Stegostoma tigrinum: one gene and its partner. The protein of the gene in region 1 purifies or fractionates together with the protein of each later gene. This does not show direct contact. Links are inferred from orthologs where the notes say so. Each region holds a gene or a part of one and is shown on either strand. Other genes may lie near its edges.

Region 1 (8,020 bases):
CAATCCGGCCACTTGAGCCAACCTAGCCCTCCTACTGATACAGTGGACATTGGGTAACTACATTTTATTAGAGACATGGCCTTGGGTTACAAAATAATTTCAAGCATTTGTTGCAGCTGAAAAGGAGGTTGAAAAGAGCAGAGTCAATTATCCCTCCTAGTCTCATTGTAATAACCTGGAACCTAGCCATGCTGCAGAACAGCCAGACAGGCAAAGGTTGAAATAAGTGATCTTTGTGGTGTTGAGAGTCTGCGGTTTTGCAACTCAGGTCATGTTTGAATAAGCAGCAAATTCTCAAAATTCACACCTAAAATTCTAATATTTCTGCACCCCTCCGTCCAGATGTATATGTTTTTACTTTAGTTAATATTTTTGTGATAAAGAATGAGTAGGCTTTTACATGTCATTAGAGATTTTGTGACCTGTTTTTAACTGCTCCAACCAGTCAATCAGACTTATCATTAATATTTTGACAAGTTATTGAAGAATAGCACTCTCTTTTAAAAAAAAATCCGTATTTTTAATTTCCCCAGGGCTTTCCTAAATAGGGTAACAGGATGAAGTTTATGGGTTACATATTCCATGGCAGTGATAGCTGCCATGGAGTTCTGAGTTACAATAGCTGTGCTCCTGCTAACAGGCCCCCTATCTATCCCATCTCTGGCAGATCTAATCCTCCCCCACAACAACTAGGAAAATCTTAGAGGGTTGGCAATGCTGGGAAGGAGAAAGTGACTGGCTTTACAGAGCCAAGACTACCTACAAAGCAGAATTGGATAAATCCTTTGATGAGAAAAAAATTGCAGGACTATGGGAAAAGGAGCCAAAAATAAGAAAATTTGAGCAAGAAAAGAAACTAAGAGTTCTTACCCAACTTTCTGTATGCATCAGAAACTCAAACAATACTTAAAGATCTGTGGAAGGAAACAGTGATCTTTGAAATGAGGATGTGAGGATATGTGCCTAAAATTCCATTTATAGTCAAATAAAGGGGTGCTTGAAAATGTAACGTCAAAAAGAACCCCAAAAAATGACATTTAGGGAGGGAAATTGTCGGTATTTTTGTCAGTTGATCAGAGCTGGAAAACAATAGGGATCTCTCCTTGAGGGAACGTGACAGGGTGGATGATGTTTTCCCTTATGGGGAGAAACAAAGATTAGAAGATATAGTTTAAGATGATGACGACAGGGAAGCTTTTCTTTTAGAGGGTCATTAGTCTGTGAAAATCTTTTCCCAATAAAGTGGTGTAGGCAGAGTCATTGAATATTCATTTTAAGTTCAAATGCAACAAGATCGGGACAATAACCAGTTTTAGGCTGACACTTAGCAAATAACATTTGCACCACACAAATGCCAGACAATGACCACTGCCAATATGGGGACGTCTAACCATTGCCCTTCACATGCATGGTGTTACCATCACTGAAACCCCACTATCAACATGTTGGACTTGCACATAAATACGGTGACTTATTAAAGCAGGTCAGAGGCAAAGAATACTGTAGTGAGTAACTCCTGACTCCCCAAAAACTGTCCATCATCTGTAAGGCACATGTCAGGTGTGTGATAGAATAGTCTCCACTTGTCTGGATCCATGCAGTTCCAATAACACGCAAGAAGCTTGACAACATCCAGGACAAAGCTGCCTGCCTAATTGGCACCACATCCACTTCCTCCACCACTGACATTCAGTAGCAGTAGTGTGTACTATTTACAAGATACACTGCAGAAATTCACCAAAGATCCTCAGGCAGTGCCTTCTAAACCCAGGATCACTTCTATCTAGAAGGACAAAGGCAGTAGAGACATGGGAACACCACCTTCTTCAAGTTCCTTTCCAAGCCACCCATCATCCTGATTTGGAAATATATTGCCATTCCTTTACTGTCAGTGGGTCAAGATCCTGGAATTCTTTCTCTAATGGCATTGTGGGTCAACTCACGCCAGGGGACTGTAGCCCTTCAAGAAAGTAGTTCACTACCACCTTCTCAAGGGCAATTGCAGATGGGGAAGAAATGCTGGCCAGCCAGTGATGCTCATATCCCACAAATGAATACAAAATGAGGCTGAGTTAGGTGGATTTTTGATTGACAATAGGAGTCAATGATTATCAGGGTAAACAGGAAAGTTGACTTCAGCCACAGTCAGATTAGCTGTGATAAAATTTTATACAAAAGAAAATTATTGTGGTTGATGGAAGTGAATCATCACAGTCCTGAGAAATTGCTGCAGAAGTCTCTTAGAGTCGTGTTCCAGTCCCAACCACTATCAGTTGCTTCAATAGGGACCTCCCTTCCATTATAAGGTCAGAGATAGAGATGTTTGGTGATGATGACATAAGGTTCAGCGGCAGTCATGACTCCTCAGAAACTAAAATAGTCCATGACCATATGCACCAAGATCTGAACATCATCCATATTTGTGCTCATAAGTTGAAATTAACTTATGTGCCACACAAGGCAATGACTATCTCTAACAAGAGAATCTAACTTTTACCCATTGATGTACAATGGCATTACTAATATTGATTTTGCCACTGTTGACATCCTGGAAGTCAACACTGACCAGAAACTGAACTGAACAACCCCAAAAATATGTTATCAGGTCAGAAATTGAGAGTTCTGTAACCAGTAGCTGATCCCAAAGCCTATCTACAATCTGCAAGGTGCAAGTCAGGAGTGTAATGGGATATTTTTCACTCACCTAGGTGATTCCAACTCCAATAATATTGAAGAAGCTTGACACCACCCAAAAATAAAACAGCCCACATGATTGATATTCCAACCAGCCATTTAAACTCCACCACCAATGCTCAGTAGCAGCAATGTACACCATCTGCAAGAAGTAGTGCATCAACTCACCAAGCCTTCTACAACAACACCTTCCAAATCCAAGACCCCCAACAACTAGATGAATAAAGGCAAAAGATACAAGGGGGCACCATCCCCGACAAGCTCCCCTCCAAGTCACAGGTCATCCTCACATGGAACTATATCACTTTTTTTTAACTCTAATTGGAACAGACTCCTGAAACTACCTTCCTAGTAGCACTGTGTGTATACCTACACCAGTTTAATGTAGAGGTTCAAGACACCTTCTCAAGAGTAGTTAGGGATAGACAGTAAATGCTGGCCATTTAGTAACATCCACATCATATAAATGAATATGTTGGGGCAACCTCAAGGTGCCAAATGAATGACATCTGATCCTAATTCATGTATGTTCAGATGTTCTGGAGGACAAATGAAGTGCAGCAAAAAGAGCGGTCAAGCTCAGCATGTGGGATCATAATGTCATAGTGTGTTTACAGATGAGCAGCTGGAGATGTGCTCTGTCACAAACATAAAAACCATCATTTTCCAACCCCGGAAGAATTAGTCATATTGGGCTTGAAACAGCAATACTGTTTGTCTGCAGTTGCTGTCACACCAGCTGAGTTTCACCAGTATTTTCTGTGTTTGTTTCAGGTTTCTGAAATTTGCAATGTTTTGATTTTATTGTGACAGCAAAGCGTTCTCGTAAATGGTAAATCACCAAAGTCCTACTTGACTGTGGAGCAGCATTGTCATTAGAGGGAGATGACTGGAGATGGTTTACCCTGAGGGTCACCATGCCTCAGGCAAGAGGTGAGATTGAGAAGGGCCTCAATGGTCATATGAAGCAAAGATCTGCAGACGTAGAATATCTGAAACAAAAACAGAAATTGCTGGAGAAACTCAGGTCTGGCAGCATGTGCGGAGAAAAACAGAGTTAATGTTTCAAGTCCAGTGACCCTCCTTCAGGGCAAGGACAGCCCTTCATTGGTAACCCCAACTGGGGGCAGAAATTGAGCCCATACTGTTAGTATCATTCTGCATCACAAACCAGCCGTCCAAGCTAATTGAAATTAAACAACGAACTGTGGATGATGAAAATCTGAAACAAAAACAAAAATTGCTGGAGAAACTTAGCAGGTCTAGTAACATCTGTGGAGACAGAAAACAGTTAATGTTCTGACTCCAATGACCCTTAATCACAACTAAATTCTAATCTGAGTTGAGGTAATAGGAGCTGCAGATGCTTAAGAATCCGTGATGAAAGGGTCTAGGCCCGAAACGTCAGCTTTCCTGCTCCGTTCATCCAGCTCCATACTTTGTTATCTCTAATCTGAGTTGAGTGCTGATGAAGGGTCACGGGACTGGAAACGTTAACACTTGTTTCTCTCCGTGCAGATGCTTCCAGACCAGCCCAGTTTCTCCTGCAATTTGCGCTTGTGATCCAAGCTGACTGTCCTGGTACGATTACCTGCAGACAAGAGCATGGGAAAGTGAAAGCAGAAGCCAGCTTCCTTCCTGGAGTCGACACAGTGTGGAGCTGGACGAACACAACAGGTCAGGCAGCACAATGGAGCAGGAGAGTCGACGTTTCGGGCCTAGACTCTTCATCAGGACTGGTTTATAACATATTTATTGTCTCTGACCCCAGCATCTGGAGTTCTCGCTGGCTCACTCTCTTTCTGTGGTGTGGATGGGCTGAATGGCCTCCAAGGTGTGATTGACAGATTCCTGGTGACATCATCCCGCACGAGTGGGCGTGACCACGTCCGTGACGTTAAGCTCACGTGATTTTGTCGGGGCTTTCGGTGGGTGTCGGGAGCGGCGCTCCTTTGGTTAAGGTATACGCTGCGGTAGGAAACTCTCGGATAAAGCAGGCAGCCTTGGGTGGAGGTGTGTGTTATTTACTCTTCCGTTGTCGACAACACTTTTTGACCGGGGCCAAATAGTGTATCTATAGAGATAGGTGACCTGGCGCCTGCGCACTGGGGCGGTTGGGGTACATTATTTTGCAGCTCCCTGGGCTACCCAGCTGTTATTGGCCCTGGCCCTGGCCCTGGCCCGGGCCGATGCTCGAACGTGAGTGAAGGCGACTTAAAGGCAGCCAACGCCCTTTATAACCTGTTCGAACCTGACTGCTTTACGGAGCCAAAGGAAGCACCAGGGCCAAATTGAAGTGTTGAGTGTGGTGGATTGTATGGGCAAGCGGAGGGACTCCAATGGAGGATGGTGGGCGGTGGCCATGAAGGGACCTGTCAATGAGACGAGGGTTTCAATACTTATTTTTTTCTTAAAACAAAGAACCGAAAATCCTGGAGCTCTGAAACACAAACAGACATTGCTGGAAACATGTGCATGTACGACAGCCTCTGTGGAGAGAAAACAGTGTTAATGTTTTGGGTCTAGTTATCCTTCAGAACTATTTCTCCAGCAATTTCTATTTTTGATTTTGAATTCAGAGTTGGGGATGACTGTTTAGAGTTCAAGGGCAGAGGTAACACCTAAGTGCTACTCAGGTTTGGACTCTGAGGCATTGTTTGGAATCTTGATGAAGTGGTTATAAAAGAAGTTAATTTTAATGAGTTTGTGAAGATGTTCTGTAGGATACAGGATTGAGCTGTCTTGCCCACAAGGATGGCATTTTGAAGCTTGCATAATTCACTGTTTCTGGGTGGGAGTCTGTGACCATTCAGTCTGACTACTGAATGTTTAAAAGGCAAATTGGAGAATTATGGTAGCCAGTCTAATCCAAGCAAGCACAGCCTCAGCAAAAAATATAATTGGCCCTAACTAAGCTGTTAATACCTATAAATGTGGCAAATATTGATGTTGAACTAGCTCTATTGAAGCATGACCGTTTAACTTTGACAGTTACTGTGGACTTTGTTTCCAGTATTTTGACTTCTTTCAAATGTGATATTGCACCACCTCAACCCTGACAGCCCACTTGGATGTATTTGTGGTGTGGCTAAATGACCTAGGTGTTAAGTTGTATTTTATATTTTCAAAAAATTTTAGAGTCAGGGTGCTACTGGCTGGGCTAGCATTTGTTGTCCATCCCTAATTGCTCTGTAGAAAGAGTGCGAGAGATAGTAGGAACAGCAGATACTGGAAAATTTAAGGTAACAAGGTGTAAAGCTGGATGAACACAGCAGGCCAGGCAACATCAGAGGAACAGGAAAGCAGATGTTTCGGGCCTAGAATGGTCTAGGCCCAAAACGTCAGCCTTCCTGCTCCTCTGCTGTATTCATCCAGCTCTACACCTTCTTATATCAGAGTGCTAGGTTGCTTCTGGAATCTCTGGGTGTAGCCATACTCATAGTGGTATTAAGAAGGCCTTTTTTAATGTCTTCAATAAAATTTAATTCAAACTAGACCTCTTCTATTATTAGTCTCTTAACAAGTTGTCTCATTTTTGAAAGGTGAATCATCCTTAACTGACTAATTTTTTATGATTAGTCATGAATGAGAAAAGGCTGTTTTCCACTGGCCTCCAAACTCATCCTGTTAACAACACATGTAATATACTTGTCATTGCTACTAGTGAGCCAGATTAGAGCACATTTGAGCAATTATAAATGAGCTGTTATAATTAGAACAGGAAAGATACCTTTGTATCATTCATATTCTCCAGAATATGGCACTATTTCAGTTACTACTGCAGTTACCTCTTTTTTAGGAATGTGGCTGTTGCATTGCCTGAAAACAATCTGCTGTCGCTAGTGAGTTGAAAGAACATCACACTGAAGTCAGTGGACTGTTCCTGTATTTCAATATGTCATGCTGTGTGAACTGTTAGGTAAACATAGCTGCAATCGTTTTATTTTCAAAGTTGTTAATGATCACATTCCTGGTCTCTGAATTCATAAGTAGATTGCCAGATCCTGTATTTATGAATACACCACAAACATTTAATATAAAGACTTTTCTTCCTATATTTCCCTTCCTTCCTGAAAGTGCCTTCTGCTTTATCGTTTTGATTCAGATATACAGCTGACACCTGTTCTGTCATCCTTGATGTGTACATTTAACAGTGAACTTCATTAGTTAATGATTTGGAATGAGAATTTAGATTGATTATCTCCTTTATGAACCACTGTTTTCATTGAGATTGGCTAATTTGGCACAGGTTGTGAATTGAACTGTGATTATTCTTTTCTTAATTTCACATTACAACGGATTGAAAAGCATTTCAGTCAGGGAAGTAAAGCAGACTGAGCGTAGATCTGACAGATGTGCCCTGGTAGCAGCAAATTGCCAAGTTGTCCTGTTCACATTTAGATTGAACTTTCACTTTGTTCACAAGTGACTACATAAGTATACTGCTGTAGAGAGTTACCAGCTGAATTTTTCACGCGAAGTTCCATCTTTTAAAGGTATTATGGCGACACAACAGAATATCGTGCTGTCAGTTGGAACAATTAATATTTGTTCTGAATTATCTATACACCTTTGGAATTGTAGCACTTGTGCATTCCAAGCATGTTGCCATTTGCTCCTTGGTTTAAAAGTAGGAAAAGGGAATCTGAGACAATTTTACCATAGTGATGGGTTTGTGGTGGCCACAGGGCAAGGAATTGCGACTAGCTAAAATTGCTGTGCCAGAGTTCCAACGCTGCCCAAAGTGGCTAACTGGCAGTCTCCTGTATAATAACCTGTGGTGGTTCAGTGGTTAGCATTGCTGTCTCGGCACCAGGGAGCTAGGTTCAATCCTACCCTCGGGCTACTGTGTGCAGTTTGCAAGTTCTCTCCGCCTCCACCACCACCCCCTTCCCCCTCTTTGCATGGGTTTTCTTCCACAGTGCAGGTTAGGTGGATTAGCCATGCTAAATTGCCCATAATGCCCAGGTCTTTACAGATGAGGTGAATTAGCCATGGGAAATGCAGGGTTACAGGGATAGGGTAGGGGGTTGGTCTGTGTGGGGTTTTCTTTGGAGGAGGGGTGTGGACTTGATGGGCTGAATGGCCTCCTTTCACACTATAGGTATCCTAAGATAACCGTTCTAACTGAATCACTTGTTACTGTTTGGCCTTTCCACTTTGTTTTAATCTGAAAAAATAATAGGTGGAATGGGAAACTAACTAGAAATGAAGTCTGCAAGAGGACTAAATCTAGAGTAGACAACCAGGAGTCAATAGCCAGTGATAGTCTCCATCTCGGATTTTGAAAAGAAACTTCATTGCACCTTTCACAGCATTCACATTT
Region 2 (8,354 bases), on another chromosome or scaffold:
ACCCAAGCCACACAACATACAGATAGGACTATCACCTGGCAAAGCCTGGCTCAGAGGTACAGATCCTCAGGTAGGGGTAGTTTTGCTTCTGGAGTGGAGGCGCCAGGGGATTAAGGCAATGGGTGATATATTTGAGAGATGTGGGAATGAAGAGGCGATTACAGGTGGCAAACAGGGGGAGAAAAGGGGGTGACAAAGAGGGAGAGGGGGTACTTGCAACCTTAGGTTTTGCACCATAGAATGGTACCTTTCAGTCACCATGATACCTGTGACAGCTCTCAGGAAAAGCAGCTTAGCACATCCTAAAACAGTGCATTTCTAATTTCTCCAGACATCCACACGTGAATCTGTCCCTGTCACACAGTATATATGCTAAATCTTCACTGTGTAAAACACCTTGTGCTCAGTGCACCTTCGGTCCTTTATTATTAACTTGTGCCTCCTGCCCTTCCAACCATCTGCTAATGTGAACAGGATTTCTCTGCCTACGAATTGGGTCACGTTATGAACTATCGCTTTTGAGAAGGGTGAGCGAACACCCCAGCTTCTGCAAAACAAAAACAGGAATTGAAGAAACACAGGTCTGACTTCTACATAGAGATAAGAATTGAATTCTGGTATGACTCTGCAGAACCTTTTGTAGTTCATGCACAACACTCAGAAACACAGTCATGAGCATGGAAACAGACCACTCAGATCCAAACTCAAAGCTCTGCAAACACTCAATTCAGATAATATGCTTCCTTTTTATCCTTTGAGCCAAGATTAGACAACTTCCTACTTGATACTAAATTTGCCAGATCTTCACCCACTCACTTAACCTATTGACATCCCTCTGTAACTCCCATACGTCCTTTTCACAACTCCTTTTCTGATCTACCTGTAGGCCATCAGCAAGTTTAGCACCCACGCTGTCTGTTCCTTCATCCAAATCATTCATAGAAATTGTAAAAAGTGGAAGCCCCAGGACAGCTCCTGTGGCGTACCACTCGTTCCATGTTGCCAACCATAAAATGACGCATTTATCCCCACTGTTTTCTGAAGCCAGGCAATCTCCTATCTGTATATTACCTCTGACACTATGTGCTTTTTATTTTCTGCAATAACCTTTAGTACGCAATCTTATCAAATGTCTTCTGGAAATCCAAGTGCACTACATTCAGCTTCCCTTTCTCTACCGCTGGTGTTACATCGTCAAAGGACTCCAATAAAATGATTAGAAAGGATTTCTCTTTCTCAAAACCACATTGATTTGGTCTGAATTTCCTAAATGTCTTCAATAATCGTCCCTACCATAAATGTTAGGTCAAATGGCCTTTTGTTCCTGCCATTTTTTGTTTTAAATAAAGTTACATTCACTATTTTCCAATCCAATAGAAACTGTCTGAATTACAGAGCTATGAAAAATTAAAACCAATGGATAACTATTAGCCATTTTGAAAGACATTTAGATGAAGCCCTGCAGGGTCCAGGAATTGTCAGCCCACAGTTTCACCAATTTGCTCAATAGTACTTCCCTGGTGATTGTAATTTTTCTGATAGTCTCTACCTTCCATTTTCTGATTGAAAGCCATTTCTAAGATGGCCTGCAATCATGTTGCAATTGAAACCTTTGACTTATATTGCTTCTCCTTCTTTCCCCTGCCAAAGTGTATCACTTCATGTCTAACTGCTTTGCATCGCACTTGTCACAGACCAAACAAAATTTACAGGATGTAGACATCACTGGCATGACCAGCATTTATTGTCTGTACCAAGCTGAGGTAGTAGGGAGCTGCCTACTTGAAAACCTAAAGTCCATTTTGTGGAGGTACATGCACACTCGTGAAAGGGTGGAACTTCCACAATTCTGACTCAGCAACACTGAAGTAACGGTAACATATGTCCAAGTCAGGATGGTAAGTGGCTTGGAGGGAAGCTTGCAGGGGTGGTATTCCCGTACATCAGCTATGCTTGTCATTCGAGATGGAATTTTGAAGGTGCTAAGGAATACTGGTGAATTTCTGCAGTGCAGCTTACGGATAGTACACACTGCTGCTACTGACCATTGGCATTAGAGGGAGTGGCTGTTTCCTGCAAGCTACCTTGTCCCAGTTAGTGTCAAGCTTAAATGTTCTTGGAGCTGCATTCGTCCAGGCAAATAGGGAATATTCCATCACATTCCTGACCTTGCCTTTTAGATGGCGGACAGGCTTTGGGGAGTCAGGAAGTGAGTTAGTCACCGCAGGACTCCTCATCTGCTCTGGTAGCCACTGCATTTATGTGGTGAGTCCAGTTGAGTTTCTGTGCAATGGGTAACCCAAAGACATTAATAGGGGTTTCAGGGACAGTTACATCATTGAATGGCAATCGTTCAACTCTTTCTTGTTGGAGATGGTAAATGTATGGCACAATTGTTACTTGCCACTCATCTGTCAGAAAGGATGTGTTGCTAAAGGTAAGCATATAGATGCAGCAGGCAATAAAGGAGGGAAGTAGTATGTTGGCTTTTGTTGAGAGAGGTTTTGATGCACACTAGGTCAATGCAGCCTTTTTTGTCAAGAACAATCATTATTTTCACCTCACCCCAGTCTTCCCATTTCACCAGCCTACCCACATCCCGAAGGCTGTTTTGCAAATTTTGAAATTGTGCGAGTGCACGCTCTTATGCCAATGAAACAGTGATGCTCAATCACGTTCATCGTTACCGTTTTCCGATCGGCCGACTAACCTTACCCCCGAGTATTCCAGCATTTATCCCGCGGCGCTTGACTGAATGCCTTTTAGGCATCCAGTCCACACTGACATATCTACAGCATCGTCCCCGCCTTCAACATTTCAAGCAAGTTAGTCAAACACAGTCTGCCTTCACAATTCCCTGCAGGCTTTCCTTTATAAACGCACACTGGTCCGGATCGTTGTTAACTGGGGCCCGGGACTAAGCCACCTCCCCCCACGCCTCAGTCACCCACCCAACTCCCTGGTACTACCCTCTCTCCTTATCCCCCATCCACTGGAACTTACCCTCCCAGGACACTCACCACTACCGCCTCCCCTACCCATTGTACCCTAACATATTCAACACCCTCCCTCAGTCACTCACTCACTCACTCACTCACCTCTCCAGCGCAGCCTCTCTCCGGTCTCGGTCGATTCCCACCCTCTCAATGCGCATGCCCTATGCCTCGTGACGTCATCACCACCCGCGCCGCACGACGACATTGAACGCCCCGTTCCGGGCTGCGCGTAGCTGGACCGCGTTGTCGGGGCGTGTGCCCTGACGCTGGTCTCACTCCCCAGCTCCAGCTCCCAGGATCCCCAGCGTGGCCACGGCAAGATGGCGGTGCTCCCCTGAGCAGTGCGGCCCAGTCTCGGGCCTGAGAGGTCCATTTACCGTGAGTAATTCTAGCCCCCGCTCCCCACCTTCGGGACGACCCTCCAACCAGCACAAACTCGTTCCTCACCCCCCCACCCCCAACCCCTCTCACGGCAATCTCAACACCCTCTTCCCTCACACCGGTTGTTACCCCTTAACGTCACACGTCCTTTCCACCTTCCCCGCCCACAACCTCTCTGTCTTTCCCATTCCCCCCATCTTCTCTCTTCTCGCCCCCCATCTTCTCTCTTCTCGCCCGCCCCCCATCTTCTCTCTTCTCGCCCGCCCCCCATCTTCTCTCTTCTCGCCCGCCCCCCATCTTCTCTCTTCTCGCCCGCCCCCCATCTTCTCTCTTCTCGCCCGCCCCCCATCTTCTCTCTTCTCGCCCGCCCCCCATCTTCTCTCTTCTCGCCCGCCCCCCATCTTCTCTCTTCTCGCCCGCCCCCCATCTTCTCTCTTCTCGCCCGCCCCCCATCTTCTCTCTTCTCGCCCGCCCCCCATCTTCTCTCTTCTCGCCCGCCCCCCATCTTCTCTCTTCTCGCCCGCCCCCCATCTTCTCTCTTCTCGCCCGCCCCCCACCTGAAAGCGAAGGTGGTAAGCATTGGTTGCACTTGGACCAGTTGACCCAGGTGAGTTCTCTGGGTAGGTATGAAGAGAGGTTGGAGAGAAGCTGGAAAAAGATCTATGTTGAAAGTGAATACAGCAAAGAGTGTCCAACGATGTTTAATCTGAAACACTTGGTTGATTTTTTTTGTGTTTGATTTATTTTTGTCACAAAAATCTTGATACAGTGACAAGTTTTGTTTTGGCTGCATTTCAGACAGATCATATACAAAGCGCATTAGGGTAATAGAACAAAGTGAAGAATACAAAGTTAAGGCTGCAAATAAGGTACACAAAATGCTAGATCAACATTTAAATATAAAATTTTAGAGATCCATTCAGAAGTCTAATAAGTGGCAAAAAACGCAGTTCTTGAATCTGTTAGTACATGTGTTTCAGCTTTTGTATCTTCTGCTTGACGCAAGAGGTTGGAAGAGATTATAAGCTGGGTGGGAGGGTGTCTTTGATTATGTTGGCTGCCTTTCAAAGGCAGCAAGAAGTGCAGATGGAGTCAATGCATGGAAGTTTGGCTTGCATGATGGATTGGGCTGTATTCATAAATCTGTGCAGTTCCTTAATGGCTGTGGGCAGAGCAGTTGCCATACCATCTGTTTAGAATGCTTTCTATGTTGGATGGTCATGATCAAAACGACAAAGGTATGCATGGGCCTCTTTCTCTTGTTAAGAGTGAGGATGTTGGAGAAATGCATTAAGTCGGTTGGCAGTGTGGAAAAGAAAACCTGGGGTGCTTTTGCATTGCAGGTTGACTCTGTAAACCCACAAACCTGTTTCTTTGAAGTGAAATATATAAATGGTCCTCAATTATGGTTTCAAGAAAAGATCTGATTTTTTTTAACCACATATTGTTCAATGAAAAACATCTGACTAGCCCTAACTTTCAAGCTAGCTAAATCCAAGTCGATTTGTGACCTTATGGATGCAAATATGCACTCTGGTATTGGTAGAGAGGTGAAGAGGGTCCTTGGAGACATTCTTGAATAGATCAGCCAATCAATCATAAGATCCCAGAAATAGGAGCAGTGGTTGGCAGTTCAAAGTATCAAGGCTCCGCCAACATTCAGAAAGAGCGTGGCTTGAATTTTTATATTCAGTCAACGGATTTGGGCTTTGGCTAGTCTAGCATTTATTGCCCTTGAAAAAGCAATGGTAAATGCCTTGAACCTCTGCAGTCCTTGGTGGTGTAAATACATCCACAGTGTTGTTAGGGAGGGAGTTCTGGGATTTTAACCTAGTGACCATGAAGGAAGAAATTTCATACTAAATTATGATGGTTTAGAGGGGAACTAGCAGATTGTGGTGTTCCCTTGCATTTGCTGCACTTGGCCCTGTCATTGGAAGAGATCGTGGATTTGGAAAGTGCTGACGAAGGAGTCTTGATGAGTTCCTGCACTGCATCTTTCAGATGATACACACTGCTGCCAATGCGAGAGGGAGTGAATGTTGAAGTTGATGGATGGGGTGCAACTCGGTGGACTGCTTTGTCTTTGTTGTTGAGTGTTGTTGGAGCTAAACTCATTCAGCCAAGTTGAGAGAATTCTATCACACTCTATCTTGTGACATGTAGATGGTGGACTGGCTTGGGGAATTGGAAAGTAGCTACTTGTTGCAGAATTCCTAACCTCTGACCTGCTCTTGTAGCCACAGTATTTATAGCTATTTTCTGATCAACTTGTTCAGAGGTGTGTTACATATCTCTGCAGCAGTTGAGACTTGAACTTGGGCATCCTGGCTCAGGTACGGAAGCAAAAGCACTAGCCACAATGTTCATATGGTTAGTCCAGTTCATTTTCACTCAATGGTGACCCTGGGGATTTCAGTGATGGTAATACCATTGAATATATAGGTGCAATGGTTCGATTCTTTCTTCATCGTGTGAGTATACACAATGGTACTGAAATTTGCATGATCATCAGTGAGCATCCCAAACTCTGACTTTATGATGGAGTGAAGGGCATTAATGAGGCAGCTGAAAATGGTAAGGCTGCGGATACTACCCCAAAGAGCTCCTGCACTGGAGCTGGGATGACTGACCTCAAACGAGCGTAACGATCTTCATTTGTCGTCAGGGTATGATCCAACCAGCAGAGAGTTCCTCAGTTCTTGTTGATTCCAGTTTTGCTTGGGCTCCTTGATGCTATATATGATGCTGGGGATCTCAGGTGGAAGTTGAGCTGGATCATCTACTCAGTATTTCCAGCTGATGATTGGTGCAAATGCTACAGGCTTATCTTTTGCACTCGAGCTGGGATCTTCCATCATTGAGGATGGGAATATTTATGGAGCTGTCTCCTCAAGTTGTTAGTGAATATTCCAGTACCCCTCAGCTGCGTGTATTAGGAGTGTGGAGGTTAGATTGGCTCTATTGGTTACTGCATTGAAGTTGTAGATTTGCTCACCAAGACGGTGTGTTTGGTTGCAGGCACTTTGTCACCCTGCTAGGTAACATCATCAGTGTGTCTCTGGTGGAGCATTGGCATTCTGTCCCGCTTGATATTGATATGCTTTGGTTTATTGGGTGGTTGGCATTATTTCTGGTTCTGTTTTTCAATGGTTTGTATATCGGGTCCAGTTCAATGTGTGTGTTGATGGAGTTCTGGTTGGAATGCTAGGCCTCCAGGAATTCTCTGGCTCGCGCTATTATTGGATGTGTTGTCCCTGTCGAATTAGTGTCCTTATTTGTCTGTGTGTACTGACACCAGTGAAAATTGGTCGTGTCTCTCGGTGGCTAGTTGGTGTTCGTGTGTCCTTTATAGTCAGTCTTCTTCCAGTTTGGCCTATGTAATGTTTTTCACAGACCTTGCATGGTATTTTGTACACTATTGGTGGTGGGTATGAGATCATTTGCATTCATCAGTTGCTGTTGCAGGGTGGCCAACATTCTATGTGCCTTTCAAATTATTGGCTGTGCTCTGGTGCTAACTTTGTGATTCATGAACTGGGACACCAAGTCCCTCTGTTCTGTAGCATTCAGCAGTAAGACTAGAAGAAATATGACAGGAGTAGGCCATTCAGTCTGTTGAACTACTCCGCCATTGAATAGCCTCTCTGTCTCTGCCCATTGAAGTAATATTCTTCTGTTTTTCCTGCTAAGGTACACAACCTTACATTTTCCCCCATCATGTGACTGGCAATTTTTTTTGCTGGCTCATTGAATCTGTTCCTTTGAAGACTCTATCCTCCCCCACATGTGCTTTCCTTTGTATCTTGGTAACATTGGCCACAAATTTGGCTACGTGTTATTTGTCATTTCATCATGGTGGTATTATGCACTGATTGCCCACACACTTCACCGGTTATAGTTTGACCATTTTTCCAGACTGCCCATTCCTTATTAGCCAGTCCACAGCATATCACCCCCAAAACTGTGTCCTCTCAACCGATGCAGTTACCTTTTTTTGTGGCAGCTAAAGATACCTCTTTAAACCCCAAAAACACTACATTTACAAGTTCATCTTTATCCACCTGCTTACATCTTATAAGAAATTTAACAAATTTGTCAAACATTGGGTGGTATGGTGCGTCAATGGTTAGTACTGCTGCCTCAACACCAGGGACTGAAGTTCGATTCTAGCTTTGGATGACTATGCGTATGGAGTTTGCACATTCTCTCTGAATCTGTGTGGATTTCTGCCAGGATCTCTAGTTTCCTCTCACAGTTCAAAGATATGCAAGTTATGTGGATTCGCCGTGCTAAATTACCTCATAATGTGCAGGCTAGGCGGATTGGCTATTGGAAATGAGAGATTATGGGGATAGGGTGGGGGAATGGGAGTGGGTGAGATGTTATTTGGCGCAGATTCGATGGGCCAAATGGCCTGTTGCCATACAGTAGGAATTCTATAATTCTATAAACATTATTTTCCTTTCACAAAAACATTTTGTTTTTGCCTGATTTTATTTTTCAATTTCCATCTAGTACTGCCTCAGTGGATTCTAGCATTTCCCCAGTAATAGATGTTGCACTACCTGACCTATATTTTCCTGCATCCCATCTCCCTCCTCTCTTGAAAAGTGGTGTGACATTTGTGATTTCCAATATAATGGGACTTTCCAGAATCTAGGAAATTTTAGGCGCTCACACCTTATGCATCTGCTGTCTCTACATTCATTCCTTTTAACACCATAGGTCCAGCAGACTTATCAGCCTTTAGTTGCATTTTTTTGGTACTTTTTTTCTTAGTGTTGATTATTTTAAGTTCCTTCTTCCCTTTGATCCCCAGCTTTTCTACAAATTTCCAGATATTTTGTGTCTTCCATTGTGAAAATAGAGACAATCTACTTGCTCAGTCTCCACCATTTTCAAGTTTTCCTTTATTAAATTCATCATTTTTGCTGCTAACTGGCTTGAGCTACTGTCTTCTCTTTTCTGTTCTTA

What was found. The genes of interacting proteins can lie anywhere in the genome.
Region 2: the proteins of stx12 (region 1) and synaptosomal-associated protein 23-like purify together in Homo sapiens (affinity purification with mass spectrometry; 3 studies listed by BioGRID and IntAct, counting the BioPlex papers as one, with this or other methods). This does not show direct contact. The link is inferred for Stegostoma tigrinum from reciprocal best matches to the Homo sapiens genes STX12 and SNAP23.

What each region holds. Positions count from the first base shown.
Region 1 is NC_081377.1:38,845,284-38,853,303, reverse strand, and holds the start of stx12 (syntaxin-12), read left to right. Parts: upstream 1-4,514; 5' UTR 4,515-4,622; exon of another isoform or gene 4,623-4,707; intron 4,708-4,869; exon of another isoform or gene 4,870-4,893; intron 4,894-8,020. UniProt on the Homo sapiens protein: SNARE promoting fusion of transport vesicles with target membranes. Together with SNARE STX6, promotes movement of vesicles from endosomes to the cell membrane, and may therefore function in the endocytic recycling pathway.
Region 2 is NC_081363.1:85,179,806-85,188,159, reverse strand, and holds the start of synaptosomal-associated protein 23-like, read right to left. Parts: upstream 3,179-8,354; 5' UTR 3,099-3,178; intron 1-3,098. UniProt on the Homo sapiens protein: Essential component of the high affinity receptor for the general membrane fusion machinery and an important regulator of transport vesicle docking and fusion.